2 linked regions of the Alligator mississippiensis genome follow. The protein of the gene in region 1 interacts with the protein of each later gene in a pairwise test. Links are inferred from orthologs where the notes say so. Each region holds a gene or a part of one and is shown on either strand. Other genes may lie near its edges.

Region 1 (7,330 bases):
CAGGTATTAATAACTTGATGGTCCTATCTGTGTAGCTAAACCAGGATTATACTGATATAATTGGGTTAGTTCACAATCCCACCCTAGTATGGAGTAGGCCTTCTTCAGCCAGCTCGTTGCATCTGCTAAAGGACATCTAAGCCTTGCTGAGGTTCTGTTCCCTTCCCCCTCCACATGATATCACCACAGATTAGTTATTTGTACTCAAGTTTGACCAAGTTAAAGGAAACAGAGTGCAATGGTTGCCAATATTAAGAAATAATATTAGGAAATACATCCCATGTGTCAAGACTGCGCTCAAGCTAAACTCTCACTGCAGCAAATGGAAATCTTTCCTAAGAAAAGGATGATTAAGTTAGGAAAAGGACTTCAATGGGCCCTTTAAGGAGGCAGCTGTTTAAGCAGGGTGTCAGGAAAAGGGATTTCTGGGTTTTGTTACCCACTGAACTGCTGTATGACCTTTTTAACTCCTCTGTGAAATAGCATTCACTTCCATAAAATGGACAGAATGTCTACCTCCGGAAGGTGGTGTGGGTTCTTATGTTTAACTAATTCAGATTTCTACAGTGCTTTGAGATCCCAAAGTGAAAAGTTTTGGGGGTATTTCCTACAGCATCTTTTGTATAGATTCACTAATTTGTGAGAGTTTGGTTTTTATGTCTGATATGTAAGTTAATTAGTTTCATTATGATATTACCGATGATGCTTTAGTTGCAATTTGACAGAAAAAAACAGTTTCACGTTGACAGTTCAGAGCTGGGTAGAAGATGGCTGCAAAATATAAGACATCGGAAAGGCAAAAAATGCATGGCTGAGATATTACAATTGTGTCTATGGACAGATGTCACGGGACAGATCTCAGCTGATGCAAATCAGTGTTGCTCAGTCAACTGCGTTACGCCAGGTGAAGATTTGGCACAAAGTGCCCTTGTTATATGAACAGCTTCTATATCACTTTAGCCTTCTTCCTATGACGGTCTGAGCATGAGTTTGATACCAGCTGAGAATCTGATCCGGTAGCCACACTGGCCCTTTAAAAGCTCCTAATCTTGGTGACTCTCTTAAATTCATCATCAGCATACCGAAATAATGATCCCTCTTGGTGATTCAGCAAAGAATAACATTGCTGGTCTGAGATCCTGTAAGTCTAGAAACCCTCAATTTTTTTCTTTTACTCTGAAGGAATTTCCTTTTTTTACATTGCTGAGTTCTCTGCTACTGAGGCCAGGAAGTTGTCTATCTACAGTCAACAGTGACCAAAATTTGGTTTTCCTGGAATTCTCTCCCTTCCCTCCACACACCCACACAACAGGCTTTTCAGGACTCCTGCAGTCTGTAATTTGCCTTGCTAGCCTGATAATGTGGTTGCAGAGGCATCAGTTTTGCTAAGTCATCATCTGGAAGGAACACTTTCTTATGCCACAACCTTCATTTTTTCCCTTATGTCCCCTGTCTACCATTGAGCCTGGCTGCAGCATATTCCTAACCGGCCGAATTAAAACCACCCATGTGGACAGTGAGAAATGTGAGAGAGGCCATTGTGTCTGGGGTATGGCCTGAAACTTTCAATTTCAACAGGCACAGTCCAGACAACACAGGGACCCAGAATCCAATGGGTCCGATGCGGTTTTCCTTTGCTTGGCTAAAGAAAATATGTTTCGATCTATTTTTACTGCAAAACATGGGATTCAAGGTCCTTCTCTTTGCTTGTACAAAACAAAAGATGCTGCCCACAATAAAAGAATGGGGGACATCCTGGATTAAATTCAGCTGATTGGTCTACAAAAATCTCTCTCATGGATTCTTCAAATATTTTGTGTCCGCAGACCTAGGAGGCTTTTGTGGAATGTGAAGAAAAGTTACAACAGGAGGTAGCTTTTACAGTTCTGTCACCCACTGAAATGCCTCTTTTTTCATTTCAAGACTGGGGTTGAATCGGTGTCATTCAAGCCTCCACGTTTTGCTCATCCCTCTACTCCTGTTCCATGTTACCTTGCTATGGGATTTTTTTAATGCAATCAGCATTATAATGCTATGACATTGGCATCTTTAAAAATGACTAGATCCCATAAGTATAAGAGATGAGTACAGAGAGAGGGATGCTGAAGGTCCTTAGGAGAGGTCATTCAAGCTCTGTGAGTCTGGATTGTAGGAACAGAACCTCGCCGTGTGAATTGCATCAAATTTGTAAAAAATGAGAGCATTTGAAAGCTTTGATTTAAAAAGAATATGGTATGTTCTCTTTTGACTGTTCAGATTAAAGGTTTCCAAAGAGGACAAAGCGCCTAAACCAAGGAGTGCAAAAAACAGTTCTGTTCATTCTTGATGAAAAGGTTGTGTTTTTAAATGGCTGAAGAAGCACAAAAGTGTGAGGTGCCTCAATGTGGTAGTGAATGCAGATGGGGATAGATGGACAAAAAGGATCAACCCAGACATCTGCTAGGTCATTTCAGTTTCTGCCTCCTATGATCCCATGTCCATAACTTGTAATTTTAGACACATTTCTAAGAGTACAGGTCACAGTGGATACTCCATCTTAAGACACTGTGCATGACATTGCTTCCAGCACACCCATGTTTTCCATGTAACCCATTTCTCCCAAATGTGGAGGCTTGAATATACATATCCCAAGGCTCCAAGCTTTTGGCCACACTGATCTGAAGGCATCTGCCACTTCTCCACACACCAAGAGTGGACCTTGCACAGTAACGCTGCAGTATGAATTGCTACACGTGACCCTTTGCAAAACTGCATAGTAGGAACTCCTCGTGAGGCATTTAATCCTAGACCGGATAAAGGAGTAGAAAATATGGTAGAGAACAAGATTAAGCTGACCAAGAGTATGACTTAGATCATCTAGAAGTGATCTTCTACCACCAACATCTTTAATTATCTAATTTATTTCTTGCTTCAAATTGCTCATGCACTTGCCATATGACTGCATCATATAGCAGCAACCTGATAGCAACCAAGAGGCTCATACAAGATGACCATTCCCTTCTAACACCGTCCCTTTCAAAATCAATAGAGCAGTTTGCAAAAATTGGCCCTTTGAGGTGACATTACCCAGATTCATTTTCAACCTAATGAAACTGTTTTTGTCATCTTTAATTTTTCAAGCTTGAAGAAACTCCCTTCAGTTGTTTTTCTAATACTGTAACTGTGACAGAAAAATATGTTTTACTATCCCTGTTCTGAAGAGAGAGAAGAATAAGTGGACAACTGCCTCAGGCACTTCTTTAGCTGTTAGGAACACTTGTATTGCAAAACCATTATTCCATGGGGTTAAAAATGCCAGTGCCTTCAAAAATCATATCTACTCAAACTCCCAGCATTGCCATCTCCCATCATAGAAAATGAAGGTCGGGAAGGCACCTCAGGAGGTCACATGTAGTCCAACCCCTGCTCAAAGCAGGACCGTCCCCATCTAGATCATCCCAACCAAGGCTTTGTCAAGCCAGGTCTTAAAAACCTCCAAGAATGGAGAGTCCACCACCTCTGTGGGGAGCCTGTCCCAGTGCTGCACTAGTGTTAGCAATGCCAGGGCAGCTTTTATGGAGGAAAAAGCCAGGTGCAGACAACCCTTCAACATACATGCAGCTGGTTATTCTCAGAACATCGACGGATTGTGAACAAAAATAGCTACAGAGTTAAATATGGAAGAGAGAATAATAGAAATCAGACATAAAAGACTGAAATGGGAACTCTTCTGAAACCTCCAGGATTTACCCGTTTTTAACCCAGTGAATCGGTATCCCGCCATCACAACTCAAGAGCTTTGCAGATCCTGCAATGTGATGGTATGACATTGTGGCTCCAGCAGACCACATGGCTGCCTAGGTAGGACAATACCGAAGAAGGGCAGTCAATATAATGCACGCTCAGAAATTGCAACGGCTGTAAAACCCCTGCAAGCTAGTCCTTCCCATGGGTTTTTCAGTCCAGTCCCTCTCTTTCCTAGCCCTCTGAGCTAGGGGGCTCTGCGTTTGAATGGATGAGACTGATGGGTGGCATTCCTGCACGCTTTCACGCCCCCCACCCTGCACCGGGGGGGGTGCGGGGGGCACCCCTGGGGCAGGGGGAAGCCAGGCCCCCCTCCTCTTGGCAGGGATCAAGGGCTGGGGAAGCCCTGGCATCCAGGAGCCTCGGGGCCGGGGGCAGCCGCCTCAGACACAGCAGCTGCCCACACTACAGAGGTGACCGAACGGGGCTTGCAGCTCCCTGCCCCCTCCCCTGGGGGGCGGGGCCCGGCGCGTCGCCCCGCCCACTTGGAACGTTGCAACTTCCCGACGTTCTAAAAAGCGCAACAGTGGATCCGGCACTAGCAGTGCCGCAGGGGGTGGGCTGGGCTGGGCTGGGCTGGGCCGGGCCGGCTCCGCGGCTGCTGCGTGACCGCCCGCCCGGCCGGCTCCTCGCCTGCAAGCCCCCGCTCCCCGCCCCTGCCCCGGCCCCCGGGCACATGGAGCTGCTGTGCGCGGAGGGGCCGCCCCGCGTGCCCCGGGCCGGGCAAGACCCTCAGCTGCTGGGGGACCGGCGGGTGCTGCAGAACCTGCTGAGCCAGGAGGAGCGCTATACCCCGCGGGTCTCCTACTTCCAGTGCGTGCAGAAGGAGATCAAGCCCTACATGCGGAAGATGCTGGCCTTCTGGATGCTGGAGGTACGGGACCCCCCCTCGGCTGGGTCCCTGCTCCCTCCAGCTCTCTGTGCCCAGCCGCCGGCAACTTTCCAAGCCTTTGCCCGTCGGGGGTGGGAGCCCCACCCCGGCTTCCCTGGAGCCCAGCTCCCTGGGGGGAAGGGTTTGGGGGTGCAAAAGGGGGGCAGAGCTCCACCTTGGGGCCTTGCTGGCTGCAGGCTCAGCTGGTGGGAGCAGGGGGCATAAAACCAAGCCCCCCTTTGCCCTATGGGGTATAAGCAGCTATAGAGAAGGTGATGGGCAGCAGCTGGGATGCCTCCCCTCCCTCCATGAGCTGCAGCAGGCAGGGGGGAAGTCCTGCAGGCAGTATGTGGCAATGCCTCTAGGGGTCCCCCTGCTCCCACCTCCTCCCCGCAACCGCTGCTGAAAAAGTTCCCTGCAGCATGTGGGGCCTTTGGATGTGCCTGGTGGATCACGGGCTTGGGCCCATCACGGAAGAACTATAATCCTCCCTTAGGAGGGAGGCCGCAGCGGACGCATCGGGGCAGCTGAAGAGAAAACGGGGATGGGAGTGAGGTCCCAGGTTTAAAACTAGTGGTTTGATGTGGGGGAGTGCGGAGCAGAGCACACCGGACAGTGCTCTGCAGCGTGTCTAAATGCTTGGAGAAGGGTTTGTCAGCGCCCAGGGGAGAGCTCAGCTAGAAGATGCCAGCCACCCACTTCCCCAAACACAAAAGCGAATGCAGCCCCCACCCCGCATGACTCACCTGGACAAGGAAAGGCACCAGAGCCACTTTTCCCTTGTCTTAATTAAAGAATGAAACGCCTCAATTCAGAAGCAAATGGGAGATATAAAATGTGGTTGAATCCAGCCAGTCATTCTCTCTACCCCACTGACTGTTGCCACACAGTACCCAGTTACCTTTAAAATAAAAGAAGTGCTCAGCACTGCCTTTTCTATCATTGTTCTGTCTGTTAAAGCCCCTTCCCTTGCCATCGTTTCTTGGCTGGAAGCTGGGTTGCAGCCTGATCCTATGAAGTGCTGGAGTCAATGGCAGCAGAGGGCCCTCAGCTTCTCGCAGGACTTGTCCCAAAGAAACGTCAGTCCCTCTAGCTTCTGATTTTAAAGTGTTTGAGCAATTAAGACCAAATCCAGGTCCTATTGAAATCAATGGCAAAACTTGTATTGACTTCAGTGGCACCAAGATTTAACACTAATTTTTATGATGATGATGATAATTTTATTTTTTCATTACAGGGGGGAAAAATGCAAGCAAAATTAAACCTCTGAAGTATGAGCCTGACTTTATTTTTTAAAGAGAGTCTCTGTGCTGGGGGTTTATGTCAGCCTGTAAAAGGTACATAGGGAAGCAGAGTTAACATTTGAAAGAGAAGGATGATATTAGTTGCGGCATGAGGGAAAACCTCAGTATTTTTGTAGCTACGGTAAAAGAAGGAAGTACATTTGATCAGTGTTTCAGTGGTATAGTCTTGTGGCTAGGATTGAAATTCAGGACTCCTGGATCCTGTATTTGACCATGATACAAGTATGGTATGCACAGAAAGGAGCTCGGAGCTTGGGCAACTTGGGTTCTCTGCCATTGACTTTGTGACATTGGACAAGCCACCTCATTTGGGTACCATCACCCTGAGGTGTCCAGCTTGAGACATGCTGGGACTCACTTCAGAGGTGCTGAGTCCTCACAATCGGTGTGAGCAGGAAGTGATCAGGATCACTGGTAATCGGGCTATAGGCATCTCACGTCAAAGATGGAGGCAGTCACAAGACCTTACACTTTTATACACACACACACACACACACACACACACGATTGTGGTCTCAACCTCTGCCTCCATTACACCCATGCTACCATTTTTCCTGCCTGCCATGTAAAGACAAGTAGTAGTGTTTGAAGGCATCGGGCTAAACTCTGTGCTCGTGTCACACATGAAGTGTTGAAGTTACAACAGCAGAGAATTTAGCTCTTACTATTTAAAGGTCTTTCTGATCACCAGATATACAGCTGTACAGATGTGTAGTGTACTGTAATAATCAGAAGCTTTGAAGTCCTGCTGCAGATAGAAGCTGCTGAGTTCTGCACATCTAAAGCCTCCTCTCTTCTACTTGGGTTTTGTTAGGTATGTGAGGAACAGAAGTGTGAAGAAGAGGTCTTCCCCTTGGCCATGAATTATGTGGATCGCTACCTATCTTCAGTCCAGACGCGGAAAAATCACTTGCAGCTTCTAGGGGCTGTCTGCATGCTCCTGGCTTCCAAGCTGCGAGAGACCATGCCCCTGACTGTGGAGAAACTCTGCATTTACACAGACAATTCCATCACGGCGCAGCAGCTCCTGGTAACCACCCCACCCTGCCTGATAGAGCCCTCACCTCACTCCCTGCTCTTTATACCCTCTAGGTGCTGCTCCCTGGCAACATATGTGCATTGTGGATCCTGTCTTCCTCCTGTTTCTCCCATTCAGCCTCTTTGCTTCCTAACCCAAGTGGACACACTGCCTTTCTGAGATAGACCAGCACCCTTCCTCAGACCTGCCCCCCCTGCAGATGTAGTGGTGGTCTCCCATTCTGCCCGCTAGATGCAGAATTGTGACACTGAAGTTGTAGAAACCATTCTCTATGCTTCAGTGCACATCCCATCATTGAGCCTCATTGTGTCCCATGTTGGGCTCTGTGCCTAG
Region 2 (7,974 bases), on another chromosome or scaffold:
AGGAATGTTTCATTATGATAAACTAATTCATAATAGTGTTAAGTGATGTTACAAAGGCACTGACATTTAAATACTTTGTGTCCAAAAGCAGGTATTAAGAGTTAAAATTATTATTATTTTTCTTCATTTTCAATGTCTAGATGCCTTCATTCTCAATGGCTGTAGCTGAAATAAAGTTTTTTTTATATTTTACAAGTGCAAACACATGGGGGGGGAGGGGAGGAGGTTACCTCTGTTCTGAGCAGCGCAAGATTCTAGTTAAAGATACGTAGTTTCCTTCGACAGTCCCTTTGCTCACGGTTGGGACTGCTTTTCTGCAAGCCACATATAAAGCACATGCCAGCCAATGTAGTTCATTTCCCTGCAAAATTAAATATTAAGTCTCTAAAACATACATTTGGAAGACTTTCATTTACTTTAGCTACAACAAATGCCCGGTACATTTAAAGGGAATGGGTGTTAAGTATTTAAAAGGTCTACCGAAATGAACCATATTTCAGCTATACAAGATACAGGTTCAAATTGGGTAACATCAAAATGACTTGAAGAGCCATTTAACTTTTTTTTTTTTTTTTTACACTTCAGATTTAAGCCAAAATTCCAGCGTATTCCTATTACAGGCAACCCCTGCTTAATGCGGTTTTAGTTAGCACTATTTTCCTATAGTGCTCACTTGGAATTGATTCCCAATTCCACTGAGCGCTCAGCCAGTTTCGCTATAGCACTCAGTGGAATCGGAGTTTCAGCAGGCAGGAGGGCAGGGAGAAGTGGAAGCGACAACAGTGAGTGGGAGGTGAGTGAGTGGCAGTGAGTGCGTAGGCAGGCATGAGGGCTCAGGGTGGGATGGCAGAAGCCTGGGCCCAGGCACATGGTGCAGGAGCAGGTGTGGTGGGTGGAGACAAGTGGCTGCAAAAGAGGGGAGGAGCGTGGGACCCAAGCTGGTGCCTGGGCTGGCAGGGGTCTGCACCTGGGGTTGGGGTGGAACCTGTGCTGGTGTGTGGGGCCCGTGCCAGGGCCAGTGGAAGCCTGCACCCAAAACAGGGCGGCAAGAGCACCAGTGCCCATGATGGCACTCCATCGGAGGTTCAGCAGGGGGGTGGGGAGCGACAGAGGTGAGTGGCCTGGGGCCCGCACCACTGCTTGGAGCCAAGGCCAGTGGGGACCTGTGCCCGGAGTGGGGCAGCAGGAGTGCAGGGCCCGCATTGGTACCCGGCGGCAGGGTCCGGTGCCCAGAGCAGGGCGGCACATGAGGCCAGAGAGGCCAGTGGGCAAGCAAGGGGGGTGGGGGCAGGCATGAGCGTGGGACCTGTGCTAGTGCCCAGGGCCAAGACCAGCAAGGAGGCAGGAGCATGGGCCCGGGCTGGTATGTGGGGCTGGAGTGTCAGCAGGTGGGCGGGGGAGAGGCGGCAGTGGGGCAGGCAGTAACCAATAAATTTCTATTTACATTTATTTCTATGGAGAAAGTGGTTTCGCTTAGCGCAGTTCCGCTTAACACTCAGTTTTTCTGGAACCAATTAATGGCACTAAGCGGGGGATGCCTGTATATTTTTTTTCCAGCACACGATCATTATAAAATAGCTGTTTCTAGCCAGGATATAATTCCCTGAACTATCTTCTCTTCTACCCATATTATACAATGGAATGATTGTCTATTTAGATAAACAATACACATGTGTGCACAAGCACGCAGACATGCACTGAATTTAACTATATTAAGTATTACCACCACGGGTACGTTCCTTTTTTTTCTACCAGAAGAACTGTGGATTAATACTTTCAGGTTGGACTGTCTAGGTTGATTGCAATAAAAATCAACAATTAGAAACTAAGGAATTAAGAAATTCCTACTTGGTCAAGTTTCAAACTTCTACAGTACTTTGTAACTCAGTCAGTCACAAAGGCAATAGATCCAAGACACTACCTAGCTCTGAGAAGAGAGCCTAGTGTTTTCTGAAGGAATATAGTTTTGGTCAGTCTGTTCTGTCACCCATACAAGATGACTACATCGCTTTAGAGCCATGCTAGGAAATTATGCAGCGCAGAACACCCTGCCAGCTGTGAGGTGCTACCACACAAAATGGATATAAAAATATCTGGTTCTCTCTACACCTGGGGGTAACGGCATGATTGAACCCAACGCGATCCACACAATTTCACCTGCCATGCCACACATGCGTGGCAAAAGGTGCAATTACGGGATCACGCTTAGATCCAATCATGCGGGTGTAGGCGGAGCCTGATCCTGGGTTCCCGCTGCACTGGCAAGCAGCAGGCACCCACGATGGGAGCCCTGGAGGATCTCAGACGCTGGGACCACAGGCGCAGCCAGGACAGAGACCCCGCAGCAGATGGCGCTCGGGGCCCAGGCTATGCATCGTGCCTGGATTTTAGGCTGCCTGAAAGAAGCTGAGGGTCCAGGTCTGGTTATGGCACCCCTGCAGGGGCTGCTCCTCTCATCCCCCAGCTACCCTTCCGGGGGGCGGGGGTCTGATTCTGGTCCCACACGTCGTTACACCCGGCCACAAAACCCTTCCGCCGGCACGAGGCGCGGCCGAGCGGGACATGCAGCGACAGGCCGCAGCGGAGCCCTCTCCGCGCACTTCTGACGGGACCAAAGGCAGGGCCACGGGGCGCCGCCGCCCCTCAGGCCCGAGAGGAGGGGAGGGAGGGGCCCGGAAACCCTCCCCTGCCCCTCAGCCGGGCCCCGCCCCGCGCGGCCGCCGCGCACCTCCAGGGTGTAGTTGCGCCTCATGCCCTGGTAGCTGAGCCAGGCCTCTGCGCGCGCGCGCTCGTCCATGTTGAGGCTGCCGCAGAGCTCCTCGTAGCGCTGCCGCGTGTCCCACTCCTCGGCCGGCGGTGACGGGCATGGCGCGGGGGAGGTGGCCGCAGGCCCCCCAGGCCCCGCTTCGGCCTCCTCCTCCTCCTCGCCCGGCATCTCCCCTCCGCCACGAGCCCCGGCGCTAGGGGGCAGCGCCCCGCGCCTCGCACTGCGCCTGCGCCCGGCCAGGGGCTTCCCGACGCGCATTCGAATCCTAACCCCCCGGCGTTGAGCCCCGCCCCCGCCTCGCCCTCCCATTGGCCAGGGCAGGGTGCTTCTACCAATCAGCAGTCCCCCCCTTCACGCAGGCGCACTCCGTTTTCCACGGCTGCCCAGACCCTCTTCCCTGCGCCCAAACCCGACATAGGATTGTCACTCCCGGCATGCTCTCGCAGCTGGTCCCCACCCCCGCCAGTAGGGCGGAGTTCCGGTGCCTGACTCCGCGTCTTCCACGGCCTTGTGACGTCACCCCCTCCGGCCTGCGCGCGCCGCCGCCGCCGCGGGGGGCGGGAAGGCTGTATGCAAATGAGCGCGGGAGGGAACCGAAGCGGGGTCACGTGGGCCTCCCTTGGGCCAACGCTGAGCGTGGGTAGATCCTATCTCCCTTGCACGGTCGCAGTAGATCCCCTTCTTCTACCTTTCCTTGTCCTTTTTATTAATATCACTTCATTTGTTCTGTCTTACTCAGCACGCCTGCGCGCTGCACCGCTCTCCACAGCACCCTACGGAAGGGTCTGTGTCTCTGAACATGGCAGCCTACCTGATAAGTCAGACGGTTTCTGGAGAGTGATTTAAAGGCACCAGTACCTGCCGTGCAGCGTGAAATGAACAAATGGATCTGTTTGTAGAGACGTGACTGTGTTATAAATCAGTAGTGTCTTTCAACACAGATGACAGAGATAAGAGAAAAAATGAGCTCCTCTCGGTCTTCTGTACTGAAGAAATATTCACACAATAGACATTACAGGAAGTCAAGAACAGTTAAGACTTCTGCTGTGGCTCTTGAGAGAGAAAATATAAACTATGCACGCATCTTTTTTTGGTTTTCTGATAATAAAGTTTCACAGCTAAAATTGTATTATGAAAGCCATGGCTGAGTTTATGAACAAAAACTGGAGGAAAAGGAAGGAATTTAGGTACCTGAAACAATCCAAAAATCTGGACCAGTGACATTTTTCATCTGCTTCACAAACGCTAGGTGGCACTGTATTAGTAAGAGCATGAAAGGTAAATAATCAGCCATTTTTGCTAAAGTTTACTGAGATTCAAATCTGTAATTCCAAGCATCATGTTCATTCAAGTCCATGGCAGTTTTGGCCAGCTTCATCTCCTACTCATTTTAAGGGAAAGCTGGCTCAAGAAAGATAACCAGCAGAACAGAAGTGCTAGACTTCAGAAAAACCAACTTCAATAAGCTCAGAAAATTAGTTAGCAAGGTACTGATGATCAGGGGCATTGATGAGATGGGAGTCCAGGAAGGGTGGTTATTCCTAAAGGGAACGATCCTTCAAATGCAGGAGACAATCCCATTGCGCATGAAAGGGGGCAAAGGGGCCAAGAAACCCTCTTGGCTGAACAGGGAAATCCAGGAAAGCCTAGGGGCAAAGAAAGGGGCATACAGGCTATGGAAGCAGGGGGCAGCTACCAAGGAGTATACCTCCTTGGCTCTCACTTGCAGGGAGGCAGTGAGAAAGGCCAAAGCAGCAATGGAACTCAGGCTGGTGACAAACATTAAAGACAACAAAAAGTCCTTCTACAGGTATATAGGGAGCAAAAAGGCGGCGCAGGATAACATAGGACCCCTACAGAGCAGACTAGGGCAATTAGTGACAGATAGGAGGGACAAGGCTGAGCTTTTCAATGAGTTTTTTGCATCTGTATTCCTGACCATGAATCAGGACATATCTCCCAACCGGATTGTAGATGAGCACAGGAGGGAAACCAGCCCACTAACTGTTAGTGCTGACTTAGTGAAGGGACACTTGGAGGGGCTAGATGTGTTTAAGTCAGCAGGCCCAGATGATCATCCCAGGGAGCTGAAGGAATTGGCCAGTGTCATAGCAGTACTGGCACGATTGCTTGAGCGCTCATGATGCTCGTCAGGTCCCACAGGATTAGAAAAGGGAAAATGTGGCCTCTATTTTCAAGAAAGGGAGGAAGGAGGATCCAGGTAACTATAGGCCAGTTAGCCTTATCTCTATTATTGGGAAAACCTTTGATATAATTATTAAAGGATCACATTTGTGGGAGTCCAGCAAGAATAATGCCCTGTGTCTGTTCATGGCCTGGATCCTGCCAGTGATCCAGCACTGGGACTGGTGCAGTGGACACCATCCAGCCATGTGGAAGGGGTAGGGGGCAGCCCAGTTATAATCCTGCAACACAGGAGGAGAGTGTTGCTTGGCCCCATAGAGAAAAGGGGGGCTTCACGGTGTGGGGGAGGCCCCATCCCAGCCCCATGAGTAAACCGGGCAGGGCTTGACCCAGCAGGCAGGAGAGGACATGGGAAGGGTGTGGTTTAGCCCCAAACCAGCTCTGCAAAGGGGGGGGGGGGAGGGGGAAAGAGTATGGTCCCGACCCAATCCACCAATCCAGATGTGGAAGGTGGAAGAGGTGTCGTGGATTGGCTGTGAAGTGCAGTGCAGTGCACAGTTTGGGGATTGGGAATTTGGCAAGGTGAGGGTGACTGTATTAATGGCCACTGCTTCCCTGCCACCAAACTTCCCACCCCATGGACAGCTCTGTGGGCCAGATATGATGGCTCCGTGGGCCATGTCTGACTCATGGGCCAGAGACTGAGCACCCCTACTCCAAATGATTAAACTTCCATTTACAGCCCTAATCCTATTGGTTTTTAGATATGGAAAAATATTTAGTACTGCATGTTCAGAGGAGACTTTCAACAAAGAAAACTTTCATACATAATTCATTGAATTTTCCCCCCCCCCCATGAAGAATTTAAATCCATTGAAAAAATAACTTGCTTTTATGTTATCGGAAGTTATTCAGTTTGAAATCAGCTTAAAATAAATATCTTTTAACATATTAACTCTATGCAACTGCTTTCTGCTACCTCTCCTTCACTTTTCAGTTCTATCACAGATCTTGTGAACAACAAACTTCTGCTACCAGTATTACTGCCTACAGAAAAATACCCAATGTAGACACCACTTAAATCAATGAAGCCCTGGTTTGAGACAGGAGCTTCTAAGTGGTACTGAAATACAAATACTTTCTCCCTTCCTTGAAATGCTCAGAAGCATTACTGCTGAACATTTGTTGAAAAGGGCTTTTGTGAGTACATGGAATGATGTTACTTAAAAGAGTATTCAAAAGGAGTAAGTAACTAAGCACTGAGTAGTAGGATTTGTGTGTTATACTGTTTCTGGTTTCCACTTCAGATTAAACAAACCTTTTGAACACAGTGGTAACAAAGTTAAATTTCACTGACAAGGTTGTTTTCTAGACCTCTTGCTAATTTTATCTACATCCCATTGGGCTTAAGCTAACTGGGAATGGGCATGTCTACCGTGCATTAAGGCACCATAGTTACTGTGCATTAAATTCAGTACTTGTAATAACAGGTACTAACTTGATGTGCAGCAACTAGTGTAACTATACAGTAGTGCCACCACACACCTTTTTAGTGATGGTAATGCTTAGTAGACTAATTTTACTGTGCATTAGCACGGCTTTTGCCGCGATGCACTAATGTGCAGTAGAATTAGTCAATTGCGCATTTAGCGTCTTGTGTAGATGCATCAAATGTTATCAGAAGTTGTTCTGAAGAGAAATAAGACAACTAATTCACAACTGCCTGGTTATCCACTTCTAGATATAGCTAGATTGGCTGAAATAATGGAGAAATTGCAGTGTAAGCTGAATGGGTGGCAGGCTTGATGCCAAAGGGAATCTCAAAATTTTTGCCCAGGGAGATGGGTTGAGTCCTAGTACACCAGGATGCTGCTGACATTAAACACAACTAAACTAAAAGCTGCTCCCAGAAGGACAGAACTGATCTCCAATTTATTTTGCTAGAACAGGCACAGCAGAGATCAGACAGCAGGAAACAAACTGCACAGCAGTAAATCAAAACTGTCCTGTAATCAGCTTTCATCAGGAACAAAGCCTGAGGCGAGGCAGCCAGTTAGCAGGTGTTGGTGGAAGCAAGTGCCCTACCCCAAGACTCCTAAACCTTGACAGAAAAGATCCAATGAATTATCTAAAACAGTCTCCCTCTCCCTCATATATATGAGGGAGACTGTTTTATTTATATATAAAAAAAAAATTAAGGTGGCAGTAAGAGGGAGGCCCAAAGCAGACCATATCTGGTTCACTTACATGAGGGTTTTGCACCTTTGATGCCTGATCAAAGATGAATTGGGCAAGAGGCAGGGAACCAAGTCATGCTGTCAGAGAATTAACTGTTGCACCTGGAACATGTGACCAAGAATATCTGTTCCTTCTTGTATCCCTTTCTTCTCCCACTTTATGCATTTTCTTTCCATCTGGAAGAACTCAAGAAAACTAAAAGGTTGAGGAAGGGCTCTCTGATTCTAGGACTAGGACAAAAACAAGTCAACACAAGGAGAGAAGAGTGGTGTCTGTCTGTCTTATTTTTTTTAAACCTGCTTCTTGGTAAGTGAAGTCATACCACAGAGTTTCTGATTCATTCTAAGAAGCATAGCTGGAGGCTCTGGCAGCAGTGATTTTACCTATCAGTGATTAAATCAACTGAAAACAGACTCCACAGTATTTCAGGAATGTTTATCCAACAGATTACAGAAGCCAAAACACAGTAATCTAAGGGAACAAAAAATTTTGAATGGAGGTATTAATATACACAAGTTTTATTGCTCAGCCCAACTCATTTTGAACAGAGGGCTCCTAATTGTTTATATTTAAGTCTAGATGGAAATACTTTCTTTTCCCCAAGGTTTAGTATTTTAATTCTTTTCCTACCTTCAAAACACATAATTAAACAATATTTTCTACAGGCAGACCCTTCACTAGGATAAGTTATCAGCTCAGTAACTTCAACAAAACTATACAAAATTTCTTTGGTTGAGTCTCTGCCTCTGTCACCTTAGCATATTTGCATTCTTAACAACTCAGACATGTTTTGAAGAGCCGAGTAAGATTTTGTTCCAAGCAGA

What was found.
Region 2: the proteins of CCND3 (region 1) and RBL2 interact in a two-hybrid assay, tested with the Homo sapiens proteins (2 studies listed by BioGRID). The link is inferred for Alligator mississippiensis from reciprocal best matches to the Homo sapiens genes CCND3 and RBL2.

Annotation. Positions count from the first base shown.
Region 1 is NC_081837.1:39,028,683-39,036,012, reverse strand, and holds the start of CCND3 (G1/S-specific cyclin-D3), read left to right. Parts: upstream 1-4,323; 5' UTR 4,324-4,459; coding exon 4,460-4,657; intron 4,658-6,772; coding exon 6,773-6,988; intron 6,989-7,330. UniProt on the Homo sapiens protein: Regulatory component of the cyclin D3-CDK4 (DC) complex that phosphorylates and inhibits members of the retinoblastoma (RB) protein family including RB1 and regulates the cell-cycle during G(1)/S transition.
Region 2 is NC_081833.1:48,731,426-48,739,399, forward strand, and holds the start of RBL2 (retinoblastoma-like protein 2), read right to left. Parts: upstream 3,014-7,974; 5' UTR 2,936-3,013; coding exon 2,729-2,935; intron 2,419-2,728; exon of another isoform or gene 2,214-2,418; intron 362-2,213; coding exon 231-361; intron 1-230. UniProt on the Homo sapiens protein: Key regulator of entry into cell division. Directly involved in heterochromatin formation by maintaining overall chromatin structure and, in particular, that of constitutive heterochromatin by stabilizing histone methylation.